Linked DNA regions of Ovis aries. The protein of the gene in region 1 binds, or shares a complex with, the protein of each later gene. Links are inferred from orthologs where the notes say so. Each region holds a gene or a part of one and is shown on either strand. Other genes may lie near its edges.

Region 1 (3,749 bases):
GTGGGGTCAAAGCTAACCTGCCAAACCCCCACGATGGCATTGGCAATGAGGATCAAGAGGATGACAAAGGGTTCAACAAAGGCGGTGACAGTCTCTTCGCCTTCCTCAAACCAGGCCAGCACCTGGGGAGCAAGGGAAGGAGATCAACAGATAATAAAGCCCCTCAGGTGGTTAAAGGGAGCAGACAGAGATGAGAACACGTGCAGGAGCAAAGTGGGCGGGGCATCACGGAGGCACTGCAGCCCCACATCCCTTTAAGTGCCTACACGGTCCACTCCTTTAACTCACACAAGCGCAGCCACTGCTGTTATTCAGCGAGAACAGGCGGGCACAGACATGCACAGCTCGGGGATTAGCTGGGAATGCTTTCAGGTTTCCCTGACCAAGTTGCTGGCTTGTACACGAAGCTCAGGGGACACCCAGGCCAACTACCCTCAAGCCACATCCATCCCACGGGAGCCAAAATCCGATAGAAAAAACCCTGTGGTCCTCGCAGGCGCCCTGCCCACCCACAGCCCTCCCCCACAGCCTGAGGCAGGGAAGCTCCAATTTCATGAGGGAGCAGGAGGAGGGGATAGTGTTACGGGGCCTCCTGTACACACCCCACCCCAGCTGTTGCCACTGCCAGGCAACAGCCACAGGCAAATGTCAAGGAGCAAATCTGAGAAGGGAGAAGTGGGGTTCTGCCAGCTAGTACTCAGGGGCCCGCGGGGCCTCTACTACAGAGACCAGGGGACAAGGAGACGCTTTTGCCTCCAGAGTCCTGTCTTCCAGGAGGACTACGATGTTAAGAAAGGAAGTCCAAAATGCAGGCGGGACTGCTAGGCTGGTAGGTGCGCAGGGGAGCTCCAGGGCAGGAGCCGAGGCAGGCCCTTGGGAGGCGGGTGGGGGTAGCCCTGAGGTTGAGGAGGAAGGGGAGGGTCAGGTCAAGTGGACGAGGAAGGGGGTCCCGGGAGTTCCAGCCCTGATAGGGGTAGCTGGGAAGTGAGGCCCAGGGACAGGTGAGGGGTCTGGGCCTTTGAGCGCCTTTGGAGTTCCCCTCGCACCAGCAGCTCTTTCCCGCCTCTAGGAGGGAGTTTCTGTGTCGACCAATCAGCGTCAGGGGGGAGGGGCAGGAGCTCCGGGACGCTCGGGGATTGGCGGAGCCGTGTGTGAGCCCCGGGGCATGCTGGGAGCCGTGGTGGCCTGGGAACAGCAGTAGCATCTGAGCCCCGGAGCCCGGCGCTGGGGGGGTAACCCGAGCCCTCGGAGCCCTTGAAGCTCCGGGGGCGGCTTAGCTTCAGTGTTTTGGCTGAGAACATCCTTAAAGCTTAAAATAAAACCTGCCTGCGGGGTGTGGGGGAGGACAGAGGAGTATGCAAGTCAGCGTCATCCCTCTCCCTCAGTTCTAGTCTGTAGGACAGGATGCTGAGGGCTTGGACCAAAGGAGCCGCTGATTTGGGGCTGCCCACGAGCAGATTCTCCAGATCCCCCCAATCCACAGCTCAGGCCAGCCCCTAGATACACCCCCTTACCCCCCTGCCCCACCTGCCCCGCCGCACCACCGCGCAACACACTTACAAAGGAAATGCAGGCGGCCAGGAGAAGGATCCGCACCAGGAGGTCTTCAAACTGCTCTAACACCAGCTCCCACAGGGACTTCCCTGAGGGCAGAGGCAAGGGGAGGGGAGGGAGGTGGGGGGGCGGGGGGAGCGGTGTTAAGGTCTAACGGATGAATGCAGGGACTCCAGGTGCAGGCTGGAGTCCAGCCTGGAGCAGGAAAGGTCTAGGGTGATGGGCAGGCCATTTGGTACTGAGAAAAGGGCTGAGGGAGCTGGCCCGAAGTCCAGAAACAGGCTCCTCAAAGTGGTGGGCAGTTGTTCAAGGATTGGATGCCTCAAGGAGAACGTGCCTGGAAACTTCTGCCCCCAGCCAGACTCTAACCTTTGGGGAGGAACATTTGCCCCAGGAATTGGAAGGAGAGGACAGGGAGAAGGGAGTGGGGCCCAGAGGGAAGGAGGTGTCATTTGTGAGAGCTCAGGGCTTCCAGTAACTTACCCTCCTCGGCAGGGAGCTCTGCCCGGGGAAAAAGAAGAAAAGGATATTATTCATTTGGCATTCAGTCTAATGCCACCCACAACCAGGACTTTGTGACTAAGGTAAGAGAATCAGGCCACCAAAAAGCTGAGGTTCACCGAGGTTGTCCCAAAAAACTTGCCAAAACTCAGGGACTCAGGGATCCTGCTTTCTCAGTATCCTCCCCTCCCTTGCCCTCAAGTGACCAGGTCTTGCCTCTTCGCTAAGATACCCTGGAGGGAGAGGCTTTAGTGTGTGTGTGTCAGTGTGTGTAAGTGAGTCTCTGTGTGTGTGTGTCTGTGTGTGTATGTTGTAGGGATGTAGGAGGGTGTTACCAGCCTTTTCCTCCAGGGAACACTTACCATTATGGCCATATTTCTCCAGATGCCGCTTAACTTGGTCCGGGGTGAGGCCTGTAGTTTCGCTCACCCCAAAATAGGCCAAACATTCTTCTGTGGTCTTGGAGTGCGCAGCCTCCATGGTGCTCCCTTCCTGGGGGCCAGGGGGCGGTGTCTTCCTTCTGGGGGGGTTCTCACACGTCGGGGGCCTTCCTCAGTGTATCCACCTGCCTGTTTGTCTGGGTGTCTTCCTTTTTCTTTCCTTCCCCCCCCCAAGTTATTCTTCCCTTCACGAAGCTCTGACCCCCGTTCCACTTACAGCAGCCGGCCACCCCCCCAGCCCCCAGCTGGTCCTTATGAGGGAGTGGGGGGGCCAGGCTCCCCCCTCCCTCAGACCAGGGATTGGCTGGCCGGGACTCTAGCAGGAGGGGTCAGAAGAGAGAGATATTTCTGCTGACGAGGGGGAACAGTGGGGCTGCAGCCTGAGATGTCACTCATGAGGGAAGCTAAGGTGGCCCCAGCCCCAGGGAAGGGGGCAGGGAGAGACCTCAATTTCTGTCTTCTGCTGCTGAGCCCTTCCCCAATTGCCCCGACTTCTTGAGCTGCACTGAATTTCTTACAGAGTCACTCCTTCCAGTTCTTCCCTTCAGCCCACTTCTCTCTATTCCCTTTCCTCGAACCCCCTTCCCATCTCATCCCCTCTGAACCTACTTCTACTGCTGCAGACTCAGCCTTCCTTACTGAGTTTGTTGAAATGGCAGCAGAGATACCCAGCCCTCAAGGGGCTGAAAAGGGAGAGGACATCCTTTGGGGGCAAGAGGAAGTGGCTCTAAAGGGACAAGGGGAATCAGGGAGGGGAGAGGGTCAAGGGGACAAGGCAGAAGATGGTAACCCTACCCTAGGGAGGGGTTGCTGCAGCCATCAACAAGGGATTTAGTGTCCAGGCCCTGGTGAGCAGAGCCAGGACTGCTTGTCTCTCCCCTAAACCACCCCCCCACCATGGCTCTAACTCAACCTCTGGGAACAGAGCCTTCAGGGCCCCCCCATCCTTGAGAGGGAATCCCCCCCCAAGAAAATGGGATACCCAGGCAGCCGGGAAACCCAAGAGCCTACAGAATGTGCTGATGGCAGACAGAGAGGGATCAAAGTTTCAGAATGGGGGCAGGGGTCACCCCAAGTCACAGAATGAGGGTCACCTCGTCCCACGCTGTGCTCTCTTCAATCCACAGGGTTTACATGGCAGACCCTGGATGGCATGTGGTCTGCACTCCACCCTGGCCCCGAAGGAGCTGTGCTCAAGGGAAGTAAAGATGGAACTGTGCTCAGGCGCTGGGCATACCCCGTGGGCAGAGGTGC
Region 2 (3,749 bases), on another chromosome or scaffold:
ATTTCCCAGGCAAGAAGACTTGAGTGCGTTGCCATTTTCTTCTCCAGGGATCTTCCTGACCCAGGGATGGAACCCATGTCTGTCGCACTGGTGGGCAGAATCTTTACCACTGAGCCAGCAGGGAAACCCTGTTAAACCCTTCAGAGGTTCCATTTACCACCAGACACCTAGAATGTTTATTACAAACTCATTTTAGTAGTCAAATTTTAGTAAATGTTTATGTTTGAATGTTACACAATTTTATTTCTTTCAGATATACTATATCTCACACTTTCCACTAGTTTTTACCAGTTCTCCTGCTACCCCCAATCTATCCAAATGACTGAGTTTTGCTGTATGGGTTTACTGCTGTATTAGTATATTGACAGAGATATATAAACCATGGCTTCTACAGCTGTTTCAGATGAAACTGTATATTGATGTGTAAACTTGCAACATACAGCTTAGCCAGAAAGTTATGTGGAACAGGTGACTGGGGAGATAGCTTTCACCACTTGGACTAAAATCAGTTTTGAAGGAGCTAAAAGATGCCTATCGAATTCTGGTGCATGTGTGTGGTTTGAGGAGTGCATGTGCACGGCAGAGAATTCTTTATACTTCAGAAACGTTGAAAACATGGGTGGTTAAATGAAGTTACACTTTTACACCCTCATATGCTAAGTGGAAGAGGCAGCCAAATGCTGTAAAAATTTGTTAATATTAGTCTATCACTCTTGGTTTACAGTGTTTTGAACACATGTTAGAGATACTTGTGAAGATGTAAAAGATGAATTTAAAACCTACATCAATTGTACCAAAAGTCAACTGGAAAGAAAAGGATTTTAAGTCCTTGAGCTTTTATTAATAATACAAATTCGCAGCCAAAGGAATAGCCTTAGTCAACACATTTTCATGTCCCCCTAAACACAAATAGCCTCCAACCTTTGGAGGTTGTTCCTTCGAGATGTTTCACCAGTGACATCACAGTGATTGCCACCTCCCTTGGACTACTTTAGGCCCTGCCCAGAGCCCAGAAGTCCAGACAGCCTGGGAGACAAGCAGGAGTTGGAGCCCAAGTAGGAGAGAGAGAGGAGAAGCCTACTGCAGCCCAGTGTGTCCTTGACCCTATTCAGGTAACAGCAGGATTTTTAAGCTTAGCATACAGTGTGTATGTGTGTACAAGTTGCAAATAAGAAAAGCACAGGAATATTTACATTTCTTAATGAAATAGACAATGCCTGTTGTACACAGTGTTTCTTAGACTAGAAAGAGAATATTATTGATTCTTGTTTTCCTTTTTTTCACCTTATGGCATGTGTTGTCTCCCTTCCTATTAAAAAATACCATACAGGAAAATATGTCTTCCATCTTTTCAAAGTCTCCATTCAAAGAAAGTTAATATCAAACAGTTTATTCAGAGTTCTTCTGTTTTTTTTCACTTTGAATCATATACTGTGATCTTGATGTCAGGAAAGATTTAAAATGAGGCCAAAATTGTCTTTGTGGGTTAACAGCAGAATAATGGAAGATTGCTGATCTGGGGTTTTACCTAACTGTGGTATAAATGTGTGTGAAATTAGAGCCCACTCCCTATAGTTAGCTTATATGTTGATTGAATTGGATTCACTAGAAATTCCCACCTTAATGCTGTGTTTTATTACTTTAAAAACATACAAAACAACAGCATTTAAGCTTACCATCAAAGGGCAAGATATAGTAAGAGGTAAACCATAGGTAATAAAGAAGTGTGATGAGTAGCTGTCAATTCAGAGACCACTGAAAAAAAATGTGAAGAGTCCATAAAACATACCCTTTGAACAATTATTGTAAGGCAACATCTGTATTAATATCACTCAGGTCAAGAAATTGTCATTGGCGCACTCCAGAATTCCATTCTTGATCACTTTTCCCTTTTGCCTTATCATCGGTAATCATCATCTTAATTGTTGAGCTAGTCTTATCCATGGTTTTCTTTATAATTTTACCATTTCTGTCTGCGTTCCTAAACAATATAGTTAAATTTCCTGTTTTGGGGTTTGAAGAAATAGAATTACATTCTGTGTTTCTTTTTGTAAATTCCTCTTTTGCTTCATAGTTATTTTTGTGAAATCCACCCATCTATTATGTGGTGCTGAGGTTCATATATTTTATTTGCTCTATAGCATTTGAAAGTATGAACATACCACAGTTCACATTCATTCTATTGCTGATGAACATTTGAGTTGTTTCCAGCTTAGGACATTATGAAAACGTTGCTATGAACATTCTTATATATATAAATCCTGGTATATATGTGCTTGAGTTTCTAAAGTAAGAGTGAAAGAGCCAGATAAAAGAGAATGAACATTATCAACCTCAATTTAAAAATGTCAAATTGTTTTCCCAAAGGTCAAAAATTTACACCAGCCAGGGCAGTTATTTGTGGTTATCATTCATGTTATCACTCCTACAGAGTAACCACAATCCAACAACTATTTCCAGCCTGCCAGTTCTAGTTCTGCCTCTAACTTGCTATGTGTCATCACACAAACAACTTAACCTCTCTCTAAAAGTCAGCTTCTTAGCAATAATCTTGGGAGAGAGAAAAATCACAAAACTTGCCTGAGTTGTAAAAGTCCGAATTGTTGGGAAGGTCACATGAACAAAGCTCTGGACAACTTTCAGCAACATTTTCTGAATGTGTTCCTGTCGTGTCACAGTCTCATAAGATTTGATGGGATAGTTATTTTGCCCTTCCTGGGTAAAATAATGGGTTGTTTTGATCATTGTAAATAAGGCCTCAAATTTTTTACATATCTTTGTACTTCTTTGGACTTACTCAAATAAATTAGTGTTTGGACCAGGATTTAACTTCATTAATAAATCCATAAGGAAGAATCTGCTTTAGAGTCTTTAGATTCTTTTGTTCTTAGGCTCCTTGCCTGAATTAATCAACTTCCTGTCCTCCTCTGCTCTGATGTACATGCTTATACATTCTCTCTATTTCCTTAATACTTCATTTTCTTCTGTTTACTTTCTCCTTCGAGCAAATCTTTGTAAAGGTTTTCATTGGAAATGGTGTAGAAGGCAAAAATATAAGTAAGAATTAAAAGGAAAGTGAATGATGAATCAGTTACCATTGGTCATATTTTAAACCAACATTCAACAACATACCTGTTAATATAATCTTATTGGAACTTATGTGTTATACCAACAATAACATAAGACATTAAAAAGGATCGTTTGACTGGTTTATGCAATTAATAATTTGGTACACTAACAATAAAAGAAATATAGTAATTATAATTCATAATTCAGGGGAGACTTCTTCCCCCTGAACTTCCACTTTAGAAAATAAAACACTTTTTCCCCTTAAACTTTTTCTACTCCATAGTAGACTTTTGCTCTAAATAGTTAAAATTTTATTTCTAATCTTTACTTTCATTTGGTTTGCATATACACAGTGTCAATTATGCCACATCACTGGAAGTAATAATTTAATGTTTCTCAAAGCATGATTTTCCACAAGTATCATCTATACAGACTATAAAGATACCACCCCCACTTTTTGAAGTGTTTACAATATAAGCACATCCTGGACTTGACTAAAAATAGCTGGCACAAGCCCTTGTTGAAATAGAAGTACCCATGGGGTTAACACTTGCTGTTTGGACTGAATGCCTGTTATGTGAGGGACTTTTTGTTGACCCCAGTAGGCTCTATGCCCAAAGCAGGGATTTCAAGAGGCCAAGCAGCTGTTGAAACTACTTAATGCTTTCACAGGGTTAGAC

What was found. The genes of interacting proteins can lie anywhere in the genome.
Region 2: the proteins of ATP2A1 (region 1) and SLN are in contact, whole or in part, in a crystal structure (PDB 3W5A), measured with the Oryctolagus cuniculus proteins. The link is inferred for Ovis aries from reciprocal best matches to the Homo sapiens genes ATP2A1 and SLN. Residues at the interface, in XP_069919846.1 of Oryctolagus cuniculus: Phe88, Val89, Leu96, Ala100, Ile103, Val104, Trp107, Arg110, Asn111, Asn114, Arg324, Lys328, Trp794, Leu797, Gly801, Leu802, Thr805, Ala806, Phe809, Trp932, Ser936, Leu939, Leu943, Leu946, Ile947, Val950, Pro952, Leu953, Ile956; in NP_001075856.1 of Oryctolagus cuniculus: Met1, Glu2, Arg3, Ser4, Thr5, Arg6, Glu7, Leu8, Leu10, Asn11, Phe12, Val14, Val15, Thr18, Val19, Leu21, Ile22, Trp23, Leu25, Val26, Tyr29.

The regions. Positions count from the first base shown.
Region 1 is NC_056077.1:26,456,864-26,460,612, forward strand, and holds the start of ATP2A1 (sarcoplasmic/endoplasmic reticulum calcium ATPase 1), read right to left. Parts: upstream 2,724-3,749; 5' UTR 2,536-2,723; coding exon 2,418-2,535; intron 2,139-2,417; exon of another isoform or gene 2,056-2,138; coding exon 2,038-2,055; exon of another isoform or gene 1,644-2,037; coding exon 1,561-1,643; exon of another isoform or gene 1,384-1,560; intron 123-1,383; coding exon 18-122; intron 1-17. UniProt on the Homo sapiens protein: Key regulator of striated muscle performance by acting as the major Ca(2+) ATPase responsible for the reuptake of cytosolic Ca(2+) into the sarcoplasmic reticulum.
Region 2 is NC_056068.1:16,907,515-16,911,263, reverse strand, and holds the start of SLN (sarcolipin), read left to right. Parts: upstream 1-1,019; 5' UTR 1,020-1,112; intron 1,113-3,749. UniProt on the Homo sapiens protein: Reversibly inhibits the activity of ATP2A1/SERCA1 and ATP2A2/SERCA2 in sarcoplasmic reticulum by decreasing the apparent affinity of the ATPase for Ca(2+). Also inhibits the activity of ATP2A3/SERCA3.